Neurospora crassa OR74A: one gene and its partners. The protein of the gene in region 3 interacts with the protein of the main gene of each other region in a pairwise test. Links are inferred from orthologs where the notes say so. Each region holds a gene or a part of one and is shown on either strand. Other genes may lie near its edges. The genes, in order: NCU06090, NCU09349, NCU01257, NCU09528, NCU08121, NCU00337 and NCU06217.

The links.
Region 1: the proteins of NCU01257 (region 3) and NCU06090 interact in binary tests that used the Saccharomyces cerevisiae proteins (3 or more experiments, as listed by UniProt). The link is inferred for Neurospora crassa OR74A from reciprocal best matches to the Saccharomyces cerevisiae genes EBP2 and RRP14.
Region 2: the proteins of NCU01257 (region 3) and NCU09349 interact in binary tests that used the Saccharomyces cerevisiae proteins (3 or more experiments, as listed by UniProt). The link is inferred for Neurospora crassa OR74A from reciprocal best matches to the Saccharomyces cerevisiae genes EBP2 and HAS1.
Region 4: the proteins of NCU01257 (region 3) and NCU09528 interact in binary tests that used the Saccharomyces cerevisiae proteins (3 or more experiments, as listed by UniProt). The link is inferred for Neurospora crassa OR74A from reciprocal best matches to the Saccharomyces cerevisiae genes EBP2 and NOP16.
Region 5: the proteins of NCU01257 (region 3) and NCU08121 interact in binary tests that used the Saccharomyces cerevisiae proteins (3 or more experiments, as listed by UniProt). The link is inferred for Neurospora crassa OR74A from reciprocal best matches to the Saccharomyces cerevisiae genes EBP2 and RRS1.
Region 6: the proteins of NCU01257 (region 3) and NCU00337 interact in binary tests that used the Saccharomyces cerevisiae proteins (3 or more experiments, as listed by UniProt). The link is inferred for Neurospora crassa OR74A from reciprocal best matches to the Saccharomyces cerevisiae genes EBP2 and NOC3.
Region 7: the proteins of NCU01257 (region 3) and NCU06217 interact in binary tests that used the Saccharomyces cerevisiae proteins (3 or more experiments, as listed by UniProt). The link is inferred for Neurospora crassa OR74A from reciprocal best matches to the Saccharomyces cerevisiae genes EBP2 and NOP4.

The regions. Positions count from the first base shown.
Region 1 is NC_026507.1:1,847,947-1,852,106, forward strand, and holds NCU06090 (hypothetical protein), read right to left. Parts: upstream 2,801-4,160; 5' UTR 2,563-2,800; coding exon 2,542-2,562; intron 2,420-2,541; coding exon 2,336-2,419; intron 2,226-2,335; coding exon 735-2,225; 3' UTR 282-734; downstream 1-281. Other genes in the region: NCU06089 (exonuclease), read right to left, coding at 3,446-4,160. UniProt on the Saccharomyces cerevisiae protein: Involved in ribosome biogenesis and cell polarity. Required for the synthesis of both 40S and 60S ribosomal subunits and may also play some direct role in correct positioning of the mitotic spindle during mitosis.
Region 2 is NC_026502.1:4,196,597-4,200,608, reverse strand, and holds NCU09349 (ATP-dependent RNA helicase has-1), read right to left. Parts: upstream 2,726-4,012; 5' UTR 2,583-2,725; coding exon 966-2,582; intron 897-965; coding exon 777-896; 3' UTR 501-776; downstream 1-500. UniProt on the Saccharomyces cerevisiae protein: ATP-dependent RNA helicase involved in 40S ribosomal subunit biogenesis. Required for the processing and cleavage of 35S pre-rRNA at sites A0, A1, and A2, leading to mature 18S rRNA.
Region 3 is NC_026505.1:3,393,320-3,396,810, reverse strand, and holds NCU01257 (hypothetical protein), read left to right. Parts: upstream 1-1,213; 5' UTR 1,214-1,269; coding exon 1,270-2,224; intron 2,225-2,351; coding exon 2,352-2,707; 3' UTR 2,708-2,991; downstream 2,992-3,491. UniProt on the Saccharomyces cerevisiae protein: Required for the processing of the 27S pre-rRNA. Probably involved in the step of the processing of the 27 SA precursor into the 27 SB intermediate.
Region 4 is NC_026505.1:4,474,525-4,477,961, forward strand, and holds NCU09528 (nucleolar protein 16), read right to left. Parts: upstream 2,196-3,437; 5' UTR 2,027-2,195; coding exon 1,911-2,026; intron 1,830-1,910; coding exon 1,247-1,829; 3' UTR 501-1,246; downstream 1-500. Other genes in the region: NCU09527 (hypothetical protein), read left to right, coding at 1-152. UniProt on the Saccharomyces cerevisiae protein: Involved in the biogenesis of the 60S ribosomal subunit.
Region 5 is NC_026501.1:344,305-347,531, reverse strand, and holds NCU08121 (ribosome biogenesis protein), read right to left. Parts: upstream 1,765-3,227; 5' UTR 1,571-1,764; coding exon 968-1,570; 3' UTR 501-967; downstream 1-500. Other genes in the region: NCU08120 (mitochondrial ribosomal protein DAP3), read left to right, coding at 2,216-2,837, 2,918-3,227. UniProt on the Saccharomyces cerevisiae protein: Required for ribosome biogenesis.
Region 6 is NC_026503.1:3,495,407-3,499,609, reverse strand, and holds NCU00337 (nuclear export protein Noc3), read right to left. Parts: upstream 2,801-4,203; 5' UTR 2,636-2,800; coding exon 605-2,635; 3' UTR 475-604; downstream 1-474. Other genes in the region: NCU00336 (U3 small nucleolar RNA-associated protein 10), read left to right, coding at 3,367-4,203. UniProt on the Saccharomyces cerevisiae protein: Required for synthesis of 60S ribosomal subunits and the transport of pre-ribosomes from the nucleoplasm to the cytoplasm. Also required for initiation of DNA replication.
Region 7 is NC_026503.1:1,936,258-1,940,292, reverse strand, and holds NCU06217 (nucleolar protein 4), read right to left. Parts: upstream 2,801-4,035; 5' UTR 2,626-2,800; coding exon 307-2,625; 3' UTR 143-306; downstream 1-142. Other genes in the region: NCU06216 (nuclear condensin complex subunit 3), read left to right, coding at 3,340-4,035. UniProt on the Saccharomyces cerevisiae protein: Required for 60S ribosomal subunit synthesis. Probably involved in the processing of 27S rRNA to produce mature 25S rRNA.

The DNA of each region.
Region 1 (4,160 bases), on a different chromosome or scaffold from region 3:
TTAACCCCTTCCAAGCTTCCCTTGTGGAACGGAACACGGGTTGCTCCGATCATGATAAAATCGTGTAGCATCACCTAGAATTATGTCGGCTTCCAGGCGCCGTGTTAGTGCTTTGATTGCGAATAAAGTAGAGTCCGACCACCCAGCACTAACAGCACCTCATTTCACAGCTGGAATTTAACGCCTACACCGGAGAGCGCCTCGGTATCAGACAAGCAAGAAAGGGAAGCTATGCGTCTCACATCACCAATTCAAGTCACCGGACAAAAAAAGAGAAAAGACTCGGTGAGCTGATAATCACTTTTTAACTCCCTGAAGATGCTGCCTCGCTGAAGAAGAAGGGGGACCTCCAGCCCCTACCTCCTCCCTTCGCCACCACTACTAAAAGCTAGCTAAGTATAAAAGAACAAAAGACAAGGCTTGCCCAGCCTCGTACCATGTTAACCGCTTGTCGTGATCTGGTCCAGTTGTGATATGTACGTGTGATATAATCTCTTTTTCCATTCCGACCGTGCAAAGAAAAAAGAAACGAAAAACCATGAGGAAAAAAAACAAACGCCAAAAACACCACCTGTTACCCCCTTCCAGCAAGAAATATGTACGTAGCGACAAGGCAGAAGAATGGGAAAAGGATATGCCAGCCTCCCGAGCATCTGCCGCTATGCAGCAGCAGTGGTATCAACATCTCTCTCCAAAAAGACAAAACACCCCTTGCTGAACACCTTATCCGACGCTTATTTCTTCTTACCACCGAATCCGCCCTCGAATCCAGGCCTGCTCTTACCCTTGGAAGCACCTTTTCCTCCACCCTTACCGCCCTTGCCGCTCTTGACCTTGATGCCCATCTTGCGGGCCTTCTTCTCGTCCTGCTTCTTCTTGATGTTCTCCTCGCGCTTCTTTGACCTATCGTACTGGGCCTTGGCGACGCCCTCCTTGCGCTCTCTCCACTCATTGGCGCTCTTGCTCTTTGCCTTCTCCTTGCGCTTGACAGCCTTCTTGAGCAGGTGCTCGTCGTCGTGAACCTTCTCGCCCTCGGCACGCTTGCGAGCAGCGAGCCACGTCTCCTTCTCAAGGACTTCCTTGCGCTTATCTTCAGGCAAGGCCTCGAGGCGCTTCTTCTGCGCCTCAAGCTTGGCAAGCTTGGACTTGGCGTCCGTGGGGCCCTTCTTCTTGGTTCCGTCGGACTTGACAAAGGCGGCGTCACGAGAAAGCTGAACACCATCAGAGAAGGCGAGACGTCCGAAAGCAAAGTTGGTTTCAACATCGTCCTTGGGGCTGAGCATGCTTAGGGGAGAGTTGCGCGAGCTGGCAATAGCCTCTGACCGCTTCCGATCCTCCTCCTCCTTCTGCTTCTGTCTCTGCTCGCGCTTGTGGGCCTTGCGCTTGGCCTCCTTCTCGCGGCGCATCTCGATGAGTTCCTGCCTAGTGCGAATGGGCTTACCCTCGTCGTCCTTCTCAACCTTGCGAGCGGCACGGAGTTGCTCAATCTTGGCGGCGAGACGCTCGCGGAGAACCGTGGTATCGGCGGGAAGCTTGAACTTGGGCTTATCCGATGGGGGAACGGCGGAAGAGATCGAGGTGTTGGCGCTGGCAGGCTCGGCGGAACCGGCCTTGTCGCGACTGTCGAAAACAGAAGATTGAGCGGATTCCTGGGACTCGCCCTCATCCTCCTTTGTTACGAGACCAGACACATCAATGGGAGCCATATCGTCGTTCTCGTCGTCCTCGTTAGCTTCGGTAGAAGGCTTGGCTTCTTCGGCGGTGTCGTCCTTCTTTTCCGTCTTTCCACCCTTGCCTAGTTTCGCCTCGAGCTTGGCCTTCTTCTTCTCCTGCTTGGCCAGCTTTGCGAGACGCTTGGCCTCCTTTTCTTGCTCCTTCTTGCTCAAGGGCTTCTCAGCGGGGACGGCCTCCTCCTCCACCACCTCCTCCTCCTCCTCGGAAAGCTTCTGCTTTTTAGGCGCAGACTCTTCTGTCTCGGCGTCGTCTTTGACGACCCTCTTCTTCAGTCCTTCAAGAGGCTTCTCCTTCTCAACACCAGGGATTTCGACGTCGATGTCGCTGTCTTCAGTGCTGCTCTCCTCCATTTCCTGGAGCTTGCGCTTGTTGCGGGCGCGCTCCTCCATGACCTCCTTGGCGTTGCGGTTGAGTTCACTGTCGGGATCGAGCTTCCCCCGCTTAGCAGCTTTTGCCTGCTCCTTGGTTTGCTTCTTCTTCTTCCACTGATCCTGTTGGCGGGGTTACTTGGGATCAGCGACGCGATCGAAGGCATTTTGACACCAACATCAATGGTTGAGTTTATGATGAAGAGCTAAGTCAACGGGTGGGGGTAACGTACACTATTGTCCTCGCCGTAGTACATCTTGGCTGGGATCAGCGACAGTAGACCGTCAAAGGCCTGAGCGTGAGAACGCAGGCGCTCCTGTTCGCAATCGCAAGACGGCATGGTCAGCGTCGAACTCTAGCCATCCCAGTTTGGCCACAACTACCAGCCCATGGGTATCACCGTATCGGTGGTGTGCATTCCAGCGCCGGTCTGCTTACCTGCAAATCGGTATCCGCCATCTTTGCACACGCTGGTTTTCGCTTGTACGAGTCGACCTGGTTGATTGCCAGTCGCTAAAATAGAGAGACCTAGGTGATTGAGGCGACAAAGAAAGTCGAATCCGGGATTTCGCTGTGATGGGGTTGTGAGTGATGTCGAGCGGGCGGAATAATGGTCGAGGTAGTATGTCGAGGTATCGAAACGAAACCCAGATGGAAAAATTGAGACAGTGGAGGGCGGGTCGGCTGTGGTCGAGCGACTGTTTCCCGTCTCGATGAATTTTTGTTCGCCAGTGGATTACAGTGAAATTTTAGTGGATTGTTCCCAGCAGTGTGGAGCCCCCCAGCACCTTGCCCCACACTTTCACGCTTGGGGTTCTGGCATTCTGCCAAAGGCGGTGAACTGCCCTGGCACCTACTCATCGATCTTATCGCGGTTAGAGGGATACTTGCCTATTCTAGCACGCTCCCGTCTACCTCGTGTATAGTATACCTATAGGATTTATGTTTGGATCTGATGGTGACATGTCTCCTGACAGTGTCTTGACAGGTGCAACAGTGTTCCTTCATCATGGTTACCATTGTTTGTTTATTTCCTACTAAAGTGATATAGCTACCTTCTGGACAAAGGCCATCAATGAATGGCCCATCAGGGCAATGTTATCGCATAACAGGCAATAGAAGTTCTCCTCATTTACTTCAGCCTGCTCTTTCCATGATTGCCTTCTTTGCCTGATAATACTCCTGACCCATGATCTTTCCTCGTTTCCTTACAACAGACCATAGTACAATTCAAGCCCACCCATTTTCCAGGCGGGGTTTCTTCCTTACCGATACGCCGAGAGCTATGCACACCACATATCTGGCTTCTCCTAATACACTCCAGAGAGCACGAGTTGGGGGCTCACGAATACAGGTACTGCGCCAAGTTAAGTCGCGGACGAGTGGCTGCCGTGCCCAATTCGGTTTCTCCATCACTCTCAGGAATAATCTGATCCTCGCTCCCCTGAAGCGACATGTTCAGGGCTCTAACTTCAGCAAAGTCGGCCAACGGCAACGGAATGGCGGCGGGATCCACCTGGACGGAGCCGAGAGCCTCGCTCGGCTTGCTTGATTTACGTGCGCGGAGGCTGCTAGGAGGCGTGGCGCGGGGTGTAACTTGCTTCAATGCCCGGGCTCCCATGCGTTGCAACGGAGTCAACATGGGCGAGCTTGGATTCAACGATGATCTACGCACCGCAGCAGATCTCTCTTGGGTTGAGGAAGGTGTAGGCAGACCATTGACAAGGCGAGCACCGGGTTTACCTGGTTGATACGAGAATTGCCGGAGCCGAGGGCCCAGCGGCGTCTGGGATTTCACACTTTTCTTGGTGATGGCCTCTTGCGATGATGAGCCAGGAACTTCCACTTCGTCCTCGGCATCGCTGCTGGCATCAATGGTGGTACTCCTTGGCATCGCAGGAAGAGATGGCTCTTCCAAATCTTCCTGTTCCTTCTCCTGAGACACTGGTTCAGAGGACGGTGACTCCTCGACAAACTGAACCTTTCCGCTCCGACGACGAGCCTTTGACGAACTCCATACAGCATCCGGAACGCTCCGAAAAGCTTCCTCGATAGAG
Region 2 (4,012 bases), on a different chromosome or scaffold from region 3:
GAAGTGATGGGAAGGGAAAGGAGAGGATATTGGGAAAGGGGAAGGGGAGGATATTGGGGACGAGGTGAAATTTGGTAAAGTTGTTAGGTTGGTTTGTGTCGGGGAGTTTCCGTCTGTTATGTAGTTCAGGTTCGGGGGGTCGATTGGGGCTGCAGATAGAATAGGTATCGATGTAGGTCGTTCTGAAATAGTAGACTGTCATCAGTGGGTTGTTTCATGCTTTGTTGTTGGAGGTTAGTGTTGAGTTGGTACCGGTTGTCAGCTACCTAATTTGGGTATTGATTATGAATCCCTACAAAGGATCCTTGATAGAGAGTGACACTCAGGACCTCCATGCTTTCCATCAGCCATATCAACATCACGATCTTTCCAATTGCGTAGCAAAATAGATATGATGTGGTTTGTTCAAGGTCTTTCTTACCATTTATCAAATGAAACTGTCAGCATGATAATATGTTCCATCCTCACATGGAAAGACACCCGAGATGACCGAACGGCACAGCATCAGAAATACCACACCAACGGAGCAGCAACGTAAAGTAAAAATTAATTGTTGATTTGAAGCCCTCCAGTTTTACTTTTCAACCAAAAACGCCTTGGCAGCTTGCGCAAACAACAACAAGTAAACAGCAAAGTAGCAACACAAAAGAAAACACCCACTATGCTCCACACCGAATGCCCGATGGATATCTAAGAGAGAACATTGACAAATCATCATCCCCTTTTCGTATTCTAACCAACAACAACAACAACACGAACACCGAATCCCGCCTCGCTTAGTGACGGTTCTGCTTCGGCTGGCTACCATACGCTCTCCTGCTCGTCTGCTTCTTGTCACGCGACATGCTGGAGGCCAGGGTGATGTCTACCCTGGGAGGGGTGGAGAAGCCGAAGGACTGTTTTTGTAGTACGTTAGTGACTGTTCTGGTGTTGGGGAAGAAAAAGGGAGAGAAGAGAAAACATACCTTGGCCACCTTAACCAAGTCAAGCTTATGGATATCAAACACCGACCGCAAACTGTGCGAAGCATAGGCGTGGAGATACGACCTGTAACCGTCCTTGGCGCTCTGGTTAAGGTAGTAGTTCTGGCCGATCAGCTTCTCCAGCTGGGACTGAACGTTGAGGATCTTGCTCTTGGGGAAGTCGTATTCCACAACGGGGACCTTGGCGGCCTTGAGATGGGCGAGGAAACCCAACTCGTTGGGCTGGAGGAAGAGCAGCGAACGGCCCTTGGTGTTGTTACCACGGGCGGTACGACCGACGCGGTGAATGTAGTCGCGCGGGTCATCAGGAGGATCGAACTGGACGATCCAATCAACGGCGGGGATGTCGAGACCACGGGCGGCAACGTCCGTGCAGATGAGGGTGCCCTGCTTGGCGTTGCAGAATTCGAAAAAGGTGTTTGTGCGCTTCTGCTGCTTCTGCTTGCCGTGGAGATCGAGAACCTGAAGATCGATGTACTGGAGAAGTTCGGAGTAGTACTTGACCGAGTTGCAGGACGAGAAGAAGACAATGACCTTCTTCTTCTGCATCTTCTTGAGGAAAGAGAAGAGGAGCAGGAAGCGCTTGTCGGCGTCGACGACAACGTAGCCTTGGTCCAGACCCTCGACCGTGCTGAACTGCTTCTCCTCATCGACGTTGACGTAAAGAGGACCGGGACGGAGCGAGATACGGGCGAGATCCTCAACCTTGGTGGTTTGTGTGGCGGAGAAGAGCATGGTCTGACGGTCCTCCTTGGGCAGGATCTTGATGATCTGGCGCATTTCGTCCTCGAAACCAATCTCGAGAATACGGTCGGCCTCGTCGATGATGAGCGATCGCATGTTCTTGAACACAAAGGGAGTGTTTTGCAGGTGATCGAGCAGACGACCGGGAGTAGCAATGAGCAGGTTGACGCCCTTGCCCAGCTTCTCGGCCTCAGCACGACGGTTGGCACCGCCGATGACGACACCGTATGTTTGGGAGTGGTTCTTCATGAGCTCGCGGGCGACGCCGAAGATCTGGAGAGCCAATTCGCGGGTAGGAGTGACGACAATGGCACCGGTACCGTTTCTCGGCTTGAAGCGCAGGGAGCTGAGCATCTCGATAGCGGGAATGAGGAAGGCGAGGGTCTTGCCGGAACCGGTCTTGGCCGCACCGAGGACGTCCTTGCCGGCGAGCAGAGGCGGGATACCTCTCCTCTGGATCTCGGTCATCTTGGTGAAGCCCATTTCGGCAATGGCCTTCATGGTCTTGTCGGACAGGTTGAGCTCGGAGAAGTCGGTGGCATTGGTCGCGATGGACGGGGCGATGAGGGAGTCGTTGGTCTTTGTGAGTTCGTCGCCGGCCTCAGCGTCCTTGTCGTCGCTGTCCTCCTTGTCCCCGTTGCCGGTGGGGATGACCTCGTCGCCATCTTGTTGTTCCTCCGCCTTTTGGGCATCGTTCTCCTCCTCGGGGGTGGCGTCCTCGACGACCTCTTCGGCGGCCTTCTTCTCCTTCTTGTCCTTCTTCACCTTCTTGGTCTTCTTGTCGGTGGCGGCGCCATCTTCGGTCGCAATCTTGGCGTCCTTGAGCTTGCGCTTCTTGCTAAATTCGGAAGCCATCGTGATGGCGTGGGGGGGTTGGTACTGTCGGTGGGTGGTTGCGATACTCTGGGAAAAGGGCGTCGCAATGGTTCCGTTCAAATTCCCAGCGAGTCGAATCTGTTATCCTTCCTCTGCCTTCTCTTTCGCTGGGGATTTTTTTCTTATCGCTTGTTCGATAACCAGGGATTACACCAGGCGGTGAAAATTTTGCCAATTCTGCCCTCTTCTCCTGATGAAAACCTGGTCTGTGCGCTACAGCCGTCCCAGTGTTGACCCCACTTTTGACTGCAGATCAGCCGAACCCCGGAACCCGCCAATTGTGCCCCCAATTGCTTGCGAGAGTCGAGAACTGAACTTGTCCATTTCCTCTTATCTTCAAATCCGCATTATGTTGTTTTCTTCTCTGATATTCGTTTATTATCACAACGCTTTCACCTCTCCTGCAATTACTCCAGTCTGTCATAGACATGATATACTCAACGTAACCGCGTGTAGTCGGTCTTTCATGTTCGTTGTCCCTCTCACGGAATTAGGCTCTGGATGTCGTCCATGGTGGCATTGCTTTACACTGCGGATATTCAAACGCTGTACAGTACCTCTGAGATCCTGGCATTGCAGTATTCTTCTTATGTTACATTTCTATTCCAAAGGTTTAGTGGATTGAGACAGACCAGTCAATAGCCTGGTGGACTTTGCAGTTCCCGTCCAGCGGACGACTTCGAAGGCCTTGACACAAGTCCATAGTCAGGCTACGGGTTGCCTTGATCGATAATCGATAATTCGGGGCAGCTGGAAACTTACCCCGTCTGCGGGATACAGGGCGCAAGATTGGAACGTACCAGTCAGCTTCGAATCCAGGTCCCTGGGTTGGAAGTGTCACTCGCCGAGAGGCCCCTGGGTCGATACATAACAGTACACATGGCAGATCAATATCCTCGCATCATTACATTGGCTGAAGTGAAGTTTCATGAACCCCTTCGGAATCCTTCATATTCTCTCAAGGCTGACGGGATGCTATCTTGGTCACGTCGGAAGTAACAACACCTTTATTACATGAAAACATGATCATTTTCCATGGAGTTGACCGAGTCACAAGTGTGGTTCGGTCTTTGGCTCACTGCTGCCTTGGGTCGCATCTTTCCACGATCTGAGGCTGAGAATGGTTCCAATGGGAGGTATCAGCACGGAAGTTGATGTTCATGATATAATCTGGTCCCATGGCCCTATTCTTCAACACCACTCGCTCAACACCACGGACAGACATCACGGAAACAATCCAGAAGGCATCCCATAAAATAAAATCGGACAAGAACTTCTGGTTCTTGAATCGAAACCACGTTTATGTTAAATCTCGATACACTCTGTATCTCACTTCCCCGTCTTTCTGCTGCCAAGTGGTGCCCCAGGAGGCGTAGACACGGCTCAAGCCGATCGGGCTGGTAATTTGG
Region 3 (3,491 bases):
CGACACTCAGGCAACTCACCTTATCTTTCTGGACCCTTTCTCTCTTTTGTCGTTGATTCGACACCAAACACCCTTTGCGGACTGAGGACATCGCCGGCGGGAAACGATGCAGCAACTTCTCTTTGGTTCACACTCTTCGGCAAACGTCACCTGGGAGTCGGCGGACTCACACCTTCCAACCTCAACCTCTTCCATCTGCTGGGAGGGAGCTATTTCGCGACATGCTTCTCTCTTTTGTTGGGTGGGACTTGCACGGGCTTGGGTATGGCGCTTGGTTCACCACTCCTTTTTCTTTGCGCACTTTCTTGGAATTTTCTTGGATAGGACTGTAGAGGAGGGAAGTCTTCCTTTCTGTCTTGGCAGGGAGGGGGGACTCGCGGGATGAAATTTGTGGAGGGGGAGGACCATGTGGGGAGTTTTCACTGTATCTTTCTGATCTTGGTTTGCGGAGGGGAGGGATTGTGGGGGTGAGTTGGCTTGGTTGAAGGATTTGAAGAGTGTTAGTTCTTTTAATAAAAAAAAAACCCCGGTTGACACCATATCTTTGGATGCTCTCATGACCGTGACTACCTCTATGATTGTGAATTTCATTATCATCGTATGCCTCTTCGTAAGACTTTTCAGAGCAACTGACTTTAGTGATAAAGCTGTCAACTTGCAAATGGAACGCTTGATCGATCATCAAGGCAAGATACGCGGAGGAATGGCCTCGGCTCCGAGAAAATATACTACATCCCATTACATGTATCAGCTCGACGTCCCAGACATATTTCTGATCTGTTTCGGCCAGGTTAGGTTCGTGATGTTTGCGCGGGACAAGGCTCCTCCACTGAACGCGAAGTTTGATGTATCAGGAGACTCGTGTTGAATCACCTTGACACAGGCTGCGGGTAGCTTACGAGAAACTGGGCAGAGATACACAGGGCATGGTGATATACACTAGCAATCAATCTTGAGATCACCGAGAAAACGCAGTTCGGTGGGTGACCATCACCGTGACTACAGGCCCATTGTAACTCGTAACCTGAGGGTTGGGGTTTGATGTGCCAGATTCAGAGAGAGTGTGAAGGGCACTTCCAGGAGCTGGGCTGTGGATACCTCTATGCCGGGCGCCAAGCATCCACATTTGGGTCCGCCTCCGACCCACCAGGCTTATCTTATCGGGTAATGGCAGCCGCCATGTCAAAAAAAAGTTTCCAGAACTGCAAGCGCTGCCGCTTCTCGAGCTCATCATCCAAATCGATTGTACAGCAACCCCACATAATCACAATGCCGCGACAGTCCACCCGCACAAAAAAGCCGGCCACCAAGGCTCTTGAGGCTGAGAAGATCGAGAAGATTGTTGAAGAGAAGCCCCAGAAGGAGCAGAAGAAGCGTGGCAGAAAGCCCAAGCAGGTCGTCGAAGAAACCCCTGTAGAGGACAAGATGGATGTCGAGGAGGAGCAGAAGGCGGAAGAAACCACCACTCAGACCAAGGCCGACGAGAAACCAGAGCAACAGGAAGAGGCCGGTTCAGATTCTGAGGAGGGTAGTGACGACGAAGAGGACAACGATCTCGATCTTGATGCACTTGACGAATCCGATTCCGACTCAGAATTCGAGCGCGACCTGAACGAGAAGCAATCCGCCGCCGGCATCCAGGCAAACAAGTACCAGAAGGCCGCCGAGGAATCGAGCGACGAGGAGGAGGACGAGGATGAGATCGACATTGATGAGCTCGACGTCGACGGAGAAGAAGGAGAGGAAGTCAAGGCCATTTCGAGGGCGCGCCAGACAATAAACAACAAGCAAGGTCTCCTGACGGCGCTCAAGCGCTTCGCCCTCGACACAACCGACAAAGTCCCATTCGCCTTCCACCAGTCCATCGTTGCCAAGAAGGTGACGGAGGAGTCCATCCCCTCGATCGACGACGACCTGGCCCGCGAGCTGGCCTTCATGAACCAGGCGCTCGAGGCCGCCCGCGTCGGCCGCGCCCTCCTCCGCAAGGAGGGTGTCCCCTTCACCCGCCCTACCGACTACTTTGCCGAGACGCTGCGCAGCGACGAGACTATGGAGAAGGTCAAGGCCAAGCTTATCGAGGAGGCCACGGCCAAGAAGGCCTCGGCCGAGGCGCGCAAGCAGCGCGACCTCAAGAAGTTCGGCAAGCAGGTGCAGGTGGCCAAGCAACAGGAGCGTGCCAAGCAGAAGCGTGACACACTCGAAAAGATCAATCTTCTCAAGAAGAGTACGTGCCTCTCCTACCCTTCTCCTTCCCCTTCCCTTCTTAATTCCATAACAAGTTCTCTTCCTCTTCCTTCCCCTCCCCAACTTGATGATAACTGAAGCCAACTAACCTCCGCCTCCTTAAATAGAGCGCAAGGACGGCGGTGGCCCCACCGGCGCCAACGAAGCCGAAGACCTCTTTGACGTTGCCGTCGACAACGAGCTCAAGGGCGGCCCTGGCGGCAACAACAGCAAAAAGCGCGGCCGCGACGGCAAGGAGGGCGGCGGGCCCAACGCCAAGAGGCAACGGAAGGATGCCAAGTTTGGCTTCGGCGGCAAGAAGAAGTACGCCAAATCCAACGACGCCCTCTCGTCGGGCGACGTGAGCGGGTTCAGTGCGAGGAAGATGAAATCGGGCGGCCCAGCAGGCGGCAAGCCCAAGAAGTTCAAGCCTGCGCCTAGGCCTGGTAAGGCTAGGAGAAAGGCGGGGGCTGGAAAGAGGTGAAGTGAGTAAGCTTCACTGTGGCAGGAGCGAGAAGAAGCAGTGGAAGTGAAGAGCGGTGTCGATGCCATGATGGGTAATCTGTTTAGTTTCCAACCTAGTACAACAAAAGGTCAGCACGGCAGGTTGGTGACAAAGGTGGTAGTAGCGTGTATGAGTATACATCATCATGGGACCGGTCATACAACAAACATCATTGAAGGATTCAGATCAATTCAGTAGCCACTACCTTTACTTAGATACCTAAAGAGTTCTTTTCATGCCTTACAGTTTGATGGTGTTACCCGCTTGGCTCAAAGGTCCTTTTCTCATATCATTCATCTTGCAGAATGGCTATATCCGTTCACCCGAACAAACGGGTTCCTTACTTTCACCTTCATTCAAAGGCCCCCGATGTCGGCTCGTGAACAAAAACAAATCTCGGTCACTACAGTTTGTGAGAGTATCATCCTGTCACGGACGAGCCGCGCAAGGGCCATCGCTACTTTAAGACTAGGTACTTCAGATACACTAATACACGAGACATCCCCCTTTCACTCCTCGAACCCGCATGGTAAGGGGTTTGATGCGCAACACCATCGTAACGCCTGCTTGCTGCTATTCATCGAGACGAGCCTAAACCCAAACCCAGATTCAGACCCAAATAGACCTGGGAAGACCCATAACCACCAACGCCAGACATAGACCCGCCTTTCCTGAAGCTACAAGCAAATAGAAGAAAGAAACAACAACACAAAGAGCGGCTCATCCAATTCAACCCCACCGCTGTGTGGGATTAGGACGAAAA
Region 4 (3,437 bases), about 1.1 Mb from region 3:
TTGACAACGATAACGATTATCAATCCTCCGTCGGCGGCGGCAGCAGGTACGCGCCGCCTAGTGTGCATGATGGGGACTACGAGGATGAGCCATCGGCAAGGTTTCCCACTGCGCCCTACGGCCGAGTAGGAATCGAACGGGGGAATGTGTAAGAATGGGATTAAAAAAAACAGAAGGGTCGAGAATTCAAGTCAAGGGATATGGATGAGCTGGACTGATCGACTTTGGATCTGGAAGCGGATGCAATACCGGGTAGCTATACGCTGCAGCATGCTTAGGTCATGTACAAAGTGTCTTGGCTACCTGCTTTCTTTTTTTTTGTTATTGGGGGCTGGCTGGCACTAGACGAAACATTTTGGGCTTTTTCTTGTGTATGTATGTGTGTAGGCTTTGTTTTATGGGGTGTCGTTGGCGAGGCGTCACAGGTCCTTGTTGGTTTATCATGCATAGAAACGAGAGAGATATCTTCGTGCATCAACAATGAATCACAAAGCTCTCATATCGGCTTCATGGAATGCTTTGTATCTGTGTCATTCTTATTAAACTCTCCCATATTTGTGGAGATCTACGTAGAACATGATTCTAGGTGACAAACAAGATATGATACGATATATGTGGATGGCTCAATGGCCCTAATTCTTTTCATGTACTTTGAGAAACGCCTAAAACGCCCGTGGCCTTAATGAATAGTATGTATGCTGCACAAGAAATCCTGGTTCCCGTCCCATCATCCGTTTTGCTTTTGCTCATTACCGTTGAGCAAGGGAGCGCGAGCCGAAGTAGCTCCGTCACCTGTTTCTTTGCCAGTTCCCCATTCCACGAGAGGGTCGCCCCCTGAAGCGAAGTATGATGAGGCGACAGCGGGGAGAGTCTAACTGGCATTATACCAGTCTGAGAGAGAAAGAGAGACAAAGAGAGAAAGACAAAATCCGTTGCTCTCTTCTTTCGAGACCTGTCGAGCAGAGCCATCTCGGCTGAAGGATCAGCCGTGTTGGGTCGCTCTTTCTCCCTCCCGCCGACTCTCGTAGCCCAGCTTACAGGACGAGACTGGACATGGGTCCGGGCATTTGTCGCCAGGCTCCCTCATCTCTACCCTTATCTTCAGACCACAAACCGAGCTCACCGGTGATCCCAAGAACATCCCCTTGCAAGAAGCAGTCACATTCCAGTGATGATGAAGTTCACATCACACTCGCGCATGCAATTTGCCCCCTTCTTCCCCTCCCTCGTTTCTTCGTCCGCTTCTTTACTGCAACAAGCCAGCCTTCCTCAACCGCTTGGTAATGTCGCCCTTGGTCTGCTGCATCGGGTTTAACTTGATGTCGCGCACCATGGCAGCTACATCGTCGCCGTGCTTAGCCACTAGTCGCTGCAGCCATTCTAGCTCGCGCTCGCTCTGGTAGCGCACCGTCTTCTCCACAGGGCGCGACGCCTCCTCCTCGAGCATCCGGACCACCTCGGGCCGGCTGCTCTGGGCAATCATCTCCTGGCGGTCGTCGCTGATGCCGTGCCATTCGATATCATGGGTTGGGTTCTTGGGCTTGGGTTCCTCGGATTCGGAGTCGGACTCGATCTCGTTGAGCGGGTCGTTGAGCGGGTTGTCCGAGCGCAGGACCTTGACGATCTTGCCCGAGGCGTCACGCTCGACCTTGACCTCGCGGACCTCGAACAGGCCGCGATCGGCCGACTTGACGGCCAAAGGATCATCCTTGGTGATGCCGGCGTAGTTGGCGGCGGCGGACTTCTTGGCCATGCCGCCGGCGGCGGTGCCGAGCTTGGCGACGAGACCGAAGCGGGAGTAGTTTTGTGAGAGGGTCTCCTTCTTGTTCCTGTAGTACATCAATTTTTGCATGTCAGTACTGAATCTCCTCTCGAATATCTGGCAACAAAAAGAAGAGAAAGGTACTTACCAGGCCTTGGCAACGATGCCGCTGCCCTGGGGGTTCAAGACCTTCTTCTTGATGGTATGCGTCTGGACCTTGGCGCGAGACGAGCGCTTCTTGCGCTTCTGAAGTTCTCTGCCCATTGTTGCTGTGGTTTTCGGGAAGTAGGTACTATGTGGTGTTGCTGAAAGGACAGGAGTTCGACTGCCAAAAGATGCTGGGAAGAAGAAGGCGAAATGGGAGTAAACCAGCAAAGAACGATGACGGCGACAACAACAACGAAGGCGGAAGTTGACCAAAATTTCGGGGGAAACCACCCCAGAGAACTCGATTGAACTGGAACTGCAATGGCTCCTGTCCGATAAGAGAATTATAGTGGGGCTGTTGTCCCTTATCGACCTTACAGGTTGTTCGTTACTTGGCAAGCTTGGGTACGTTCCCTCAGTCCAGTCGCCAGCTGGCAAGAGGGCCGTAATAAAGATACAGTCCCTACTGCGTAAGTGTGTACCTAGGTAGTGTAAGTGGTGTATTGTATGTAAGCACGTACATAAATACCGCTTCCTCAGGTTCCGTTTCTAATCCTCTTGTATCTTGCTTGCCTTTATTGCCGTCACCAGTTCGTTCATCAACAATCCTTCTCCCAAGGGTGATGATGGCAACTTACCTAACGACTATTTCCTCGGAATTGGACCCTAACTTTCACGGCCATCATAGCCGCGGCTTCTTGTTCTGCTCGCAACTGGTGAGGCGCCAGCGGCCGCGCCAGTCACCACCTCACCATTGTCACCATGATCATTACCCATTGGAGATATGAACAGACTTGTAATCATTGCTAAATAACTAGCTACGCACTTTGCAAGTTTTCCGGTAGGGCAACTTGATTCCCGTCTCATCCCATCCCCAAAACACCCTCCATGGCCCCCGCCACTATCCATTCGACGCAGGCACGCGGGTCATGCCTGAAATTTCATTTCTTTTTTATTCAAATCCAACCCGCCTTCAAATGTCAGCCTTGTACTTCCAAAGACATTCGGTAGTATGCGACCTAACTGTTGACATGTTCATTTCAAGTGCCTCGGTCATCATCACCCTGCTACATGCCGGCCAATGCCCATCAGAGCCCGGAAGAACACTGCGCAGAATGGGAAGCCGTTCGACATACATAGGTGTACTGTAGTGGCCAGCCAATTGTCTTTCATGGTGTTCTAGACGTTTGCCTATACAAGTACCTAGACAGCGACCGAGGTCTTGCTTTTTCTTCCCCAACTCCTCTCTCTTCAAACGCCCAGCCCATAGTTCGCAGCAGAACTCAACATCTTACCCACCTCCCCCTCCTTCTTCAACCCCATCCAACCTCAATGCAACATGGAGATATTCAGAACTTGATGAGGGGGGCCATGCTTGGGATAGTCACCTTCCTGTTAAGTCTAGGCGTAGACTTCGTTAGCCATGAGGTTTAGTCGAAATGAGGGGGTAGTTGGATACATGTCGAGCGGGATGTGGGGAGTGGTAGCGGCGAGGAGGTATACCTCTCAGTACTTATGTACGTACTAC
Region 5 (3,227 bases), on a different chromosome or scaffold from region 3:
AAAGAAGAAAAACAAGGAGAAAAGAAGAAGAAGAAGAAGAAGAAGAAGAAGAAGAAGAAGAAGAAGAAGAAGAAGAAGAAGAAGAAGAAGAAGAAGAAGAAGAAGAAGAAGAAGAAGAAGAAGAAGAAGAAGAAGAAGAAGAAGAAGAAGAAGAAGAAGAAGAAGAAGAAGAAGAAGAAGAAGAAGAAGAAGAAGAAGAAGAAGAAGAAGAAGAAGAAGAAGAAGAAGAAGAAGAAGAAGAAATGACAACAACCAAAAAGAACGAAAAATGAAAGTGATTATAACAGATGAGAGAAAAGAAGAAGAAAGAAGCAGACTTATTACCAAGGGACCCATGAGCGTTTCTGTTGAGCCTAAACACATACGATGAACACCTGACAGGAATGGAATTACGAATGCAAGCTTCATGTGAAAAAGAGGTTTAGGAACTTTTCAAAAGGTTTGTTTACTGATGATGCCTTTTTTTTTTTTTTTTTTTTTTTTTTTTTTTTTTTTGATGAGGATACAGCCATTAACGCCAGTTCGGGTGATCTCGTTGTAGTCTGTGGTAAAAAGAAAAAAGGCGACTTGAATCTGATAACTTTGTCTTTGTAATGTAATAGAAACCTCCCAGTAGTACAGTAACTAAGTATATAAACGACCTTGAACGCCCGAAATGCCCAGGCCCAAAATGCCTAGTAGATAAGGTAAAGGAACAACGAGACCTCTTGTCTTCTGTCTTGTGTCTTGCCTTCTTGTATAGCCTCTGCTGAGGGAAGGGAGGCCTGCTGATGCTGATGCTGATGCTGATGTTGATGCTGATGCTGATACACGGGTCAACATCAACTCACTTCACTTCACTTTCAGTTACTCATCTTGATGGCCTCCCTCCCTTCTTTGCATGTTTCCATCCACACGCCTTCCTCTTCATCTCCATCTCTTGAAATCCAGTACCCCTACTGCTCAAGCACCCCATAAAACAGGGCGCTCACTTCTTCCTCCCACTCTCCCTCCGCTCATTCGCCCTCATCTTCCGCTCATTCCTCTTCACCCGCTCTCTAATCTCCCGTCTCTTATCCCCCCTCACACTCTTCCCCTCCGCCATCCGCTTCTCCTCCTGGCTCTTCTTGACCTCAATAATCGGCGCATCCTCGCCCGCCTTGTTGGCGCCCTTGTATCCCCACTTGCGGCCGAACTCGCCCGTCGTCTCGTCATACTGCAGGTTACGGCGCTGCTCGCGCGTCTTGGGCTTGATGCCGCGGCGCTTGGCGAACTGGCTCCATTTCGTCTCGGCCTTGGGCGTCGGCACGGGTTTCTCGCGCGGGAGAGGGGTTTGAGGAGGCGGGAGGGACAGTAAGACACCCGCCGGGGTGGAACTGATGGGGCAGGCCGTGAGGAGTTGGTTGATGAGGGATTGGCAGCCGTCGCGGGCGATGGAGGCGAGTTGGGGTTCGAGTGCGGAGGAGCGGTCGAGAAGGAGGGGGTTGGGGTCGTTGGCGAGGAGGAGGCCGAGGTCGAAGGTGTAGGGGGTGGGTTTGTCGACTGTGACGGGGAGTTTGGTGGTGGTGGTGGTGGTTGTTGCGTCGGACATTTTGATGGTGTTTTTTTGGTTCTGATGGGCGCGGCGGGTTGATTGAATGGTTTGGTTTAGGTTGATGAATAGGTAGTTGGTGGTTGTTATCGGCGCGCCGTGTGGGATTCCGTTAGGCTGCCTTGGTGATGTTGATGGTGATGGAAACAAACAGGTGACTTGGGGTATCTTTTTTGTCGTTCAGTTGGCAGAACTGGGGATCACATTCTCTGGGAGGACGGGAGAGGTGCTGCTGGTTCTGGATCTACTGAAAATTTAGGCGGTAACAGGCGGCAGATGCGAGCTTGGAGATGGTGCGGGACCGCTGCCAATTGCAATCTGATGTTCTCATTGGCTGGAAGACCCCAAACAGGCAAACCACCGACTTCTTGGCGCCGGGGAATTTGGAGGCACTGGTCGCCAAGTAGGTCGAGTTGGTCCGAGCTTGCGAACTTTCCAACGCGCGCCCGCTCCCGCTCCGCTTGCCGTGTGCCCGGGCATCACAGGTCCCCGTCCCCGTCCCGGTTTGTTGTGTTGACTTGCGACGATATTATTTGCCCGGGGTAGTTTTCCACGGGCTCTCAGCTGTGTTTCAACCACACCACACACCACCCACAGCAGTCCGATCGACCGACCGTCTGACCGGCCGACCACCCGCCCGCACACATGTCGGCGTCCAACTGCCTGAGGTGCCTCGTGCGCCCCTCGGCCGTGGCCCTGGTCCCCCGCCAGATGCTCCAGGTCGGTGGTGGCAGCCTCACCTTCACAGCGACCGCCGCCACCAAGGGCGCCTCCTCCGCCAACACGGGAGGCCGACAGAACGCCAACCGCCCCCAGAAGCTGCGCTTCAAGAAGACCAAGAAGAAGAACGTGGTATCCTCGGGCAAGCCGCCTCTGCCCGGCGAGCGCAAGGCCTACCGCAAGAAGATTGTGCTCAGCAACAACAATGCCCTGCCCGTGCCCGGCCTCGAGACCCTGCGCCCCAACGACCTGGCCAAACAGGACAATGTCGGCTCCGTCAAGGCCCTGCCCGAGGATGTGGTCGACGCCCTGCGCGCCATGGAGGCCTTCAAGCCCACGCAGTGCTGGGGCATCTTCCGCCAGCCCTCGGTGCTCATCCGCCAGGAGACGGTCGACCTGACCAAGAAGATGAAGGCGGCTGGTGCCGACGGCAAGACGATCCGCATGGTCATTGAGGGCAACAGGGTAACGGGCAAGAGCTTGCTGCTGCTGCAGGCCATGACGCATGCGTTTATGAACGACTGGGTGGTGTTGCACATTCCCGAGGGTAGGTCTCTTTCCTATTTGTTCTTTCCCTACCATTCAAACTCCATAACTGACATACTGACTTTGTAACGTGAAAAACAGCCCAAGAACTAACCACGGCCGTGACCGAATACGCCCCCATTGAAAACTCGCCGCTCTGGACACAACCCACCTACACGCTCAAGCTCCTGCAATCCTTCAAGCGCGCCAACGAAAAGGTCCTATCGCGCATGAACACGGTCTACTCGCACGCCGACCTCCCGCAAATCATCCCCGTCAACTCGCCCCTGCTGCAGCTCATCAACAGCGCCAAGGAGGCCGACGGCGCCTGGACCGTCTTCCAGGCTCTCTGGCGCGAACTCAACGCCGAGAACGTGCCCGGCCGCCCGCCCATCCTGTTCTCGCTCGACGG
Region 6 (4,203 bases), on a different chromosome or scaffold from region 3:
CGATATGACGATCGTCATCAGACAGCAAAAGATTTTTCACCTCACCAATTAAACTCGCATGAGGCTGAGGGGAAGCTACGGACATGCCTCGGTTTAATGTACAGCCGCCATGGTTCGGCAAGTCTGACCCGACTCGGTGAGACAGAGCTAGAGCAGAAAATAGAAAAGATGAAAAGAAAAGAAAAATGATGCAAAGGTCAGGATGGTCGGCTGAATGGAGGTCGAGGAGGGAAAACAGCTGATGGCCAACTGAAAGTTGGAAATGTCTTGGGAAGGTGCAGTGGAGGAGGCTCATTCTCCAAGTGTTATCACATAACAAATGCGACCGCCTGCTTTTAGATCTCCAAAGAAACTGAAGTAATACCACATTCCACTGTGATCATGATGGGTTTGGTCGACAAAAGTACCCGTTGGTATGGTGGTGGCTTTGTGTCTGCCAGCCGCCATTGAAATCACTTTCACAGCCATAAACTCGTAGATATCCAGAATCGTTTCAACAATAATAATTCTATGCCAAAGCTAACGTGTATACTCTCCAACAACCTACACCTAGAGTCTCGTAGACATAACAAGACAATCCCTTCCGACATCACCCTTTCACCAGCTATTTGATACTTTTGATGCTCTTCTCCAGTTCCTTCACACTCTCCCTCACCTTGGGGCAGTAATGTCTCCTCAACAGCTCGCCCTCCCACACCGTCGACGCGAATGGGTTGCTACCCTCCACTGTCGCCGCAAGTGGCTTATAAGTGCCGTCGCCCTTCCTCTCCTCCGTATTCCAGAGCGAGCTGATCTTCCTGCCGTGCGTGTGGAGCACGTCGGCGAGCAAGCCGAGAAGCGCCTGGGCTGACTTCTCCGGCACCTGGAGCGATCCGGACATGAGCTGCTTCGTGAAGGCGGCCAGACGGAGCGGCGCCACGGAGCGGATGTTCCAGGGCGGCAAGAGGATGCCGCTGAGACACTTGACGAGCAGGACGGTGGTGGTCTGCAAATTGATGCGGTTGTTGCGGCGCACGCTGTTTTGGAGCTGGAGCGACTGGGCGCCGAGTTCAAGATCCGGGTTAACGGAGAGAGAGAGGAGGGACTGGAAGAGGTGGGTGATGAAGAAGGAGAGATCGAGGTGAAGGTCCGAGCGGGCGTTATGGGCGTCTTGGCCCTCGAGAAGAGCAAAGGCGGTGACGGTGCAGAGGAGGGCTTCGCGGCTGGTGTCACGAACGAATTCGTGCTCGTCGTCTTCATCCTCTTCCTCTTCCTTGTTCTCGTCGTCCGACTCGTCCTCCTTGTTGGCGTCCTTTTCACTGTAGCGGATCAGGTCTTTTAGGGCCTCAAGGAGATCACCAAAAAAGTCCTGGTTAATCAGGTGGGAGTATCTGGCGAGACCTTCAAGACAGGCACCCATGAGGTTGGGAATACGCATCTTGAGGATGCGGAAGTACGAGGCGAAAACCATCTTGAGCGTTTCGGACTGCATCCGCTCTCGCTCCTCGTAGCTCACAGCTGCGTCGGCGTGGGCCATGACCTTTTCAGCCTCCTTCTGCTCCTTAAGAAGCTTGCGCTCACGCTTGGTGCGGAACTCCTTCTTCTGCTTCGGCTTCTTGACCGACCCATCGTCCTGCTTCTCCACCGTGTCTCTGGAAGCTTTTCCGGAAAACTCGCTAAGCAAACGCAGGTGGAGGAACAGGTTCAGGATGCTCTCGTCAACCTGGTAGTTACGAGCCTTCATCATCTTTGTGAGTACTGAAATGGCCTCCATGGCGGGTTGACCATCCTCATCCTCGTGAAACAGGGTCTCGAGAGCGGTCCGGCACTTGATAAAGTCTTTATCGATATTTCTGTAGCTCAGCTTCTTGATGAGAATCTTGAGAAGCTCACCGCGGAAGTTGAAGTGCGGTACTGCGTTCAAAAGGGTGCAGGCGCAGGTAAGGGCGATGCTGGAAATGGGCTGCTTGGACTTGTCGCGAATCGATCCACCGGCGAGGGCAGCAAGGGTCTTGATGTATTGGTAGTAGCCGGTCACCATGGCCTGTTCATAGACGCGTAGCCGCTTGACATCCTTGGACAGCTTCTCTTTGGCAACATCCTCCGAAGCCGGTCTTATCCTGTAGCCGGGAATGACATCCTTGTAGACGGTCATCTGGACAACAATGGCGAGCTTCTTGATGGCGAGAAGGTCCGACTCTCCAATCTTGGCGAGCGCCTTGAAAGCACCCGGATGCTCCTCTGGGTCTTCATTGAGCTGCGTTGCGATCTTGGCCATTTCCTCCTGGGCTCTCCTGATCTGTTCACGCTCGGGAATCTTGGGTGCTTCTGGCTCGGGCTGAGCCTCCTCCTCCTCAGGGGCCTCCTCCCCTTCACTCTCCAACCACTCGGCATCGCTCGCAATCTCGGCGTCTTCCTCTTCCTGCGTCACCCAGGTTCCCTCGGCAACTCTGATGGGCAGTTTCGTGGCATCGGCGACCTTCTTCTCCTTCTTCTTCTTTCCTTTCCTGGGGCGGTTCTCATAGTCCTCCTCGAGGTTCCAGCTCTGTGCACTCTTGAAGAACTGCTTTTGAATTTTGACGTCGCTGGTTGCTGCGCCGTCCGAGGACTGGCCTCCCTCGGTCAGCTTCCTCCGCTTGGAAGGATGGGAAGACATGGTGGTGGCTGGTGATGGTCTGTGCAGTTGGAGGGTTGTGAGATGATGTGAAGTGAACCTGAAACACTGAGTGTGGGCGGCTGATCGATGTGTGCTGAAGACAGACTGAAGTGAGACGGGAGCGAGCGGTGTTCTGGAGTGGAGATGGATGGGTATCGATTGTTTGTTCTTCACTGAGATGAGGAACCGCTCAGGAACATTTTCCAAACTTTTTGGACCCTGGCTGCCAAAGCTGGGGGTCTTATCGGCGGGATGTGGTTGGTTTAGCTTTCTTATCGGACCCCACCGCTTGGGGAAAAAAAAGTTGCTGAACCATGAACGGCCATCGATTGACTGCACTTTGAGTTTTGCGGTCGAGTTCAGTTGCTTGCGCTGGAGCTTCGAGTGGCCGCACCTCCTCCTCCAAGTTTGAATTCCCTTTCCTTCCATCCATCCAAATAGGAACCCACCGACGGGGCACTCTCCGAAAACATCAACCTCGTCGCAGCAAAGAGAGACCGCGGCACCTAATCTCTTTCTCGACCACTGTACACACATCCAACCTCCCGTAATCCCAGTCTCTACCCCACGATACACAATCGAGACTGCACTCTTCCCCGTCTCCCACCACGCGCCGAAAGGCCGATCGAATTCCCACTTTGCGACGCGATCGAAATATCGACGTCGACTCTCCTTGACGATAGTACCATACGATAACCATAAAGCCGAATCGTAGAAACCAACACCCAACCATGTCGTCTTTGGCCTCCCAGTTGGCCCAGATCGCTGCCAACTCGCGGTCGACCCTCAACACCAAGGTCCTCAAGGCCGCCCACTCCAAGTCCCTGATCTTCGAGCCCCGCGTTGCCGCTACCCAGACATACCCCGAGATCTACTCGATATGCCTCGAAGGCTTTGAGGAGCTGTGCAACCTTGATTCGCGCTTCACCAAGTTCACCCAGTCGCTATGGAGCCCACAAAGCCAGGAGGCCGACAGGACACAGATGAGCGCCGCTGAGAATGCCGCCCTCGATAAGCATGTCGAGGCCTTCCTCCACCTGTGCGGCAGCAGGTTGCGTCTCATGCCCACCATCAAGGCCATCGAGTGGTTGATCCGCCGGTTCCGCGTTCATGAGTTCAACACGGCTGCTCTCATCGCGACCTTCCTCCCATACCATACCATCCCGGCCTTTGTGACCTTGTTGTCCATCCTGCCCGCCAACATCCCCAAGGAGTACCGCTTCCTCGACCCCTACATCCGCTCTCTGACCGCGCCCCCTCGCGCCGCCATTGTTCAGCAAGCGACGAACCGCCCCGAGCTGCTTACCGCCATCTCCCAGTACACTCTTGACTCTTGCAAGTACCAGATGGAATACCCTGGCCTCATCTCCTTCTGGGGTGGTGTCATGGTTGAAGCCACCAACGGTCTGCTCGACAAGTACCGTTCCGGCAGGAGAAGCATCCAGATCGAGAACGACAACGCTCTCATGCAGCAGCTTGGCCCGGTCCTCAGCGATGCCATGGTCATGAAGAGCTCTCCCGGTCTCCAGATTGCCAGCTACATGGTTGTGACGATTCTGGCTGCCAAG
Region 7 (4,035 bases), on a different chromosome or scaffold from region 3:
GCGAGAAAAACAAAGCAGGCAAACAGGCGTTCTATTATATAATAATAGCATGTAGAGGGCGTACAATATTATTGAGCGTTGTCTTGGTTAAGAACTGCCAGCGAAAGAGTTCACGAGTGTCCACGGCGGAAATAGACTGAGAGGTGTTGGAAAACGCTAAGGGATTGCTTTTGATCGTGATAAAGGTATACTTAGATAGCAAACAGGAAAGGCCCTAAGAATAACATAAATGGTTTAACATTCCGGGCCAGCAGCAGAAAAACACACACTCTCTCCCTACATTAGGTAAACTCCAAGAGCCCAGGCTTATTTCTTGCCCCTAATGTTAGCCTTCTTTTTCCTCTGTTGCCTCTTTCTCGCCAGGATCTTGGTCATGAGGGCCTCCTTGACCATCTCACTCTTCTTGCCCTTCTTATCCACCTTGATATCTTCAGCCTTCACCTCCTTCGCCGGGGCGGCGCCTGCGGCCTTGGCCACCTCAGCCGGGCCCTTCTTATCCTTGCCCTTGTTCCACCCAGCAGGCTTCTCAGGCTTAGCGCCCTTCTTCCTATCCGCCTTCCTTCCAGCCTTGTATGCCTCCTTGGCCTCCTTGGATCTCTTCTTTTCCTCCATCTCCGCCTTCCTTTCCGCGGGCGTCATCGTCCTTTGCTTCTCCTCATCCTGTCTCCTCCGCTGCACCACGTTCGCGTTCTCGATCGCGAACTCGACAATCAGCCTTTGCGTCTTGCCCAGCTCGTTCTTGACGGCAAACCCGTTCAGGTAGCGCAGGCCCATGAGCGCCCAGCGGTGCGACGAGTACTCGATAAAGCCGTAGCCACGCGACTTGCCGCCACCGACCTTTTCGTCCACCTTGGTGCCCGTGGTCGTCTCGAACACGATCTTGGCCTGCTTGACGACACCCTTGCCCTTGAGCTTCCGGAGGCGCTCGTTCTCCTTGTCTTGCTCACCACCGCGCGAGTTTTCTTCCTTGGAGATGGGCGCGCGCTTGCCTTCCTTGACGTCCTTGGCGAAGCCGACGACGGCCTGGCGCGCGAGCGCCTTGAGCTCCTTGGACCCGATGTTGCGCGGCAGGTTGCGCAGCGCGAGACGGGTGAGCGACAGGTGCAGCGACGGGTTGGACTGGATCAGCTTCTTGCGCTGGTTGGCCGACGCTTCGCGCATCTTGATTTCGGCCGGGGTAAGGACCTTGAAGAGCGTAGACGAGGGTGTGATTTGGCCCTCGTTCAGGAGGTACAGGCGTCTCTTGTCCTTGTCCTTCTTACCGGCCGAGGCCTCCGCGAGACGCTCGGCTTCGTCCTTGGAGACGGCGTGGGCGACTTGAAGGATGCGCCCGTCGAGCGTGTACTTGCCCTCCGGATCGACGGTCTCGTCTTGAAGGATGGAGTGCTTGACGAGTGTGGTGGTAGGTTGATGGCGGGGGGCGCCCTTGAGGCAGGCCTTCATCTCCTCCTCGTTGAAAAAGCACACGAAACCGGTACCGGCTGGCCTGTCGGTGGCCTTGTCCTTGACAACTCGGGCGTATCTGATGCCGCCGAACTGGGTAAAGTGCGCCTTCAGCTGCTCATCGGTGGTGGTGTATGGTAGGTTGCGAATGAAGAGTGTTAGAGAGTTGTCGGTTAGCCGCTTGGGCTTCTGTTCCTCCTCCTCATCCTCCTCGTCCTCCTCGTCCTCCTCGATATCATCTTCGTCCTTGTCCTCATCGTCTTCATCCTCGTCCTCCTTGTCCTTGTCTTCGTCCTCCTCGTCTTCACTCTCGAGGTTCTCGCCTTGGCTCTTGAAGAAGTTGTAAAGATCCTTTTCCTCCTGTGTCATGCCAGCAGTCTCCTCCTCCTCTGTCTTCTTGTCCTTGGGTTCCTTAACCTTCTTGTCCTTTTTCTCCTTCTTGTCGTCTGACTTTTCGCCGTTCTGCTGGGCCCATGTCTGCTTATCCACGGCCCAGTCGACGGCCAATGGGCGGCCATCGACCTCCATGCCATTGACGGCCTCGATAGCCTTTTCGGCATTCTTGCGACCACGGAGGGTGACGAAACCGAAACCAGAGAGCTTGCCCTTATCGTTGGGCAAGTCGGCGAACCTGACCTTACCATATGGCTTGAATAGCTCGGCCAACTGCTCAGGCTTCTTGATGCTCCATGGCAGGTTGCGGATGATGAGTTTGTTGGGTTTCTGGGCCTCGGCGACGGCTTCGGCACGTTTCTGCTTCTCCTCGGCGACCTTGGACACAACGGGTCCGGTCTTCTTGGCATCACGGTGTCTGGCTTCGGCAATGTCGAGCTTCAGGCGCTTCCCTTCAAGCAGGTAGTTGTTGAGCTTGGCCTTGGCCTCGAGGGTATCCTCGGGATCGGTGAAGGTGACGAAACCATAGCCGCGCGAGGTCTTGGTCTTGGGATCGAGGACGACGGTGGCATGCTTCACAGGGAAATGTTGGGAGAAGAACTCGGTCAGAGACTCGGCGGTGGCACTTGGAGGCAGCTGTCGGATGAAGAGAGAGCGGTTGGATTCAACTCTAGCTTTCTTGCTTGGGGGGTTCTGTGCAGCAACATCGGAATCCTTGATGGCATCGGGATCAACTGGGATCTCCTCGTCCACCTCGCGTTGGCGCTTCTTGTTCCCGTCCTTGCCCATTATTGCAAGCAATCGGGTTGTTATGTTATGTGTTTGTTAGGTGGTGTTGTTGTTGAAAGAAGGGGAGAGATGAGAAAGCAGCCAAATCAAACCAAAAGTGAAGAGAACAGACCCTCTCAAGGCGCAAATGGTGGATGGGAATCGCCGAGTGCACAGCTTCCCCCAGCGACAACAGTTCTGGACCCTTCGCCCAAAGAAAAATATTCGAAGTGGAGTCCCGATAAGAGCGTACAAGGGAGCTTATCGTTTCCCTCAAGCTTGGCAGCGGGATCCTGAGCCCGTCTCTTCCACTTCCTCTCTTCGCGCGCTTCCACAATCCACACCAAAGGAAAGGCGGGGCGCACAGACCATTCAAGCTCACCAGCAGGGTCGATACGTTTTGCGACATACAGCGCAGCGAGCAGCGCGACCCCTCTGCAGCAGGTCAGACAGTCCCTCCCGCTAGGTGACGACGGGGCCGCCAGGAAATTCACAGCAGCCCACCTGCAGTGCAAAGTAAACAAAACAACCTTCATTCGCGAATAGTGTCACTTTCATTCATCCCCGGCTCCTGCTCAGTTGCAAAAGCCATCCTACGAAACCTCACATCCGTCTTTTTTTTTTGCTTGTTTTCTTATATCTTGGGCTTGGATTACTTGTACCTTTTCCATATCGCATACAAATAGAGGACTGCCGCTGTGCAGGCCCCGCTAATACCAACAGTCATTGCCGACCATGGCGCCGGGCAGATCGACGAGAGCGACACGCGGGGCGCGCCAGACCTCGGTCGTACCAGAAGCACCCTTGGATACTCCCGACAATGCGCTACGCACACAAGTCGCGACCGTCTTCGGCGACGCCCAAAAGACCACGGCATCCCATCGCAAGCTGGCCGTGACCCTGCGCAAGATACAAGAAGCATGCTGCTACGAGCCGACGAGTACGAAGAAGCCCGCCGAGGCCGACGAGTTCGAGGAAGATGACTTCAACAAGGAGTTTGTACGCTGTGTCCTGCGCGTCATGCCCATCAAGAAGAGCGAGGGAGTCGGCGAGAAGACGGTGCGCTTCATCGGTCTGTTCCTGCGGCATGCCGTCGAGAAGGATAACGAAATTCTCGGCGAGGCCGACCCGGACGCCAGCACCATGCCCGAGACACCCAGCACCCGGCTTACCGGACACTTGATGGAAACCGTTCTTCCCTTGATGATCGCCAAGGACAAGTTTGTGCGCTATCGGTCAACGCAACTCATATCTCATATCATCAACTCCCTCGACGCGATTGACGACGACCTCTTCCAGAAGCTACGGTCAAGTCTACTTAGGAGGATTCGCGACAAGGAGGCCATGGTCCGGGCACAGGCTGTGCTGGGTCTTGGACGCTTGGCTGGCAACCAGTTCGAGGGCGAACCGAATTCCGACGATAGCGACGAT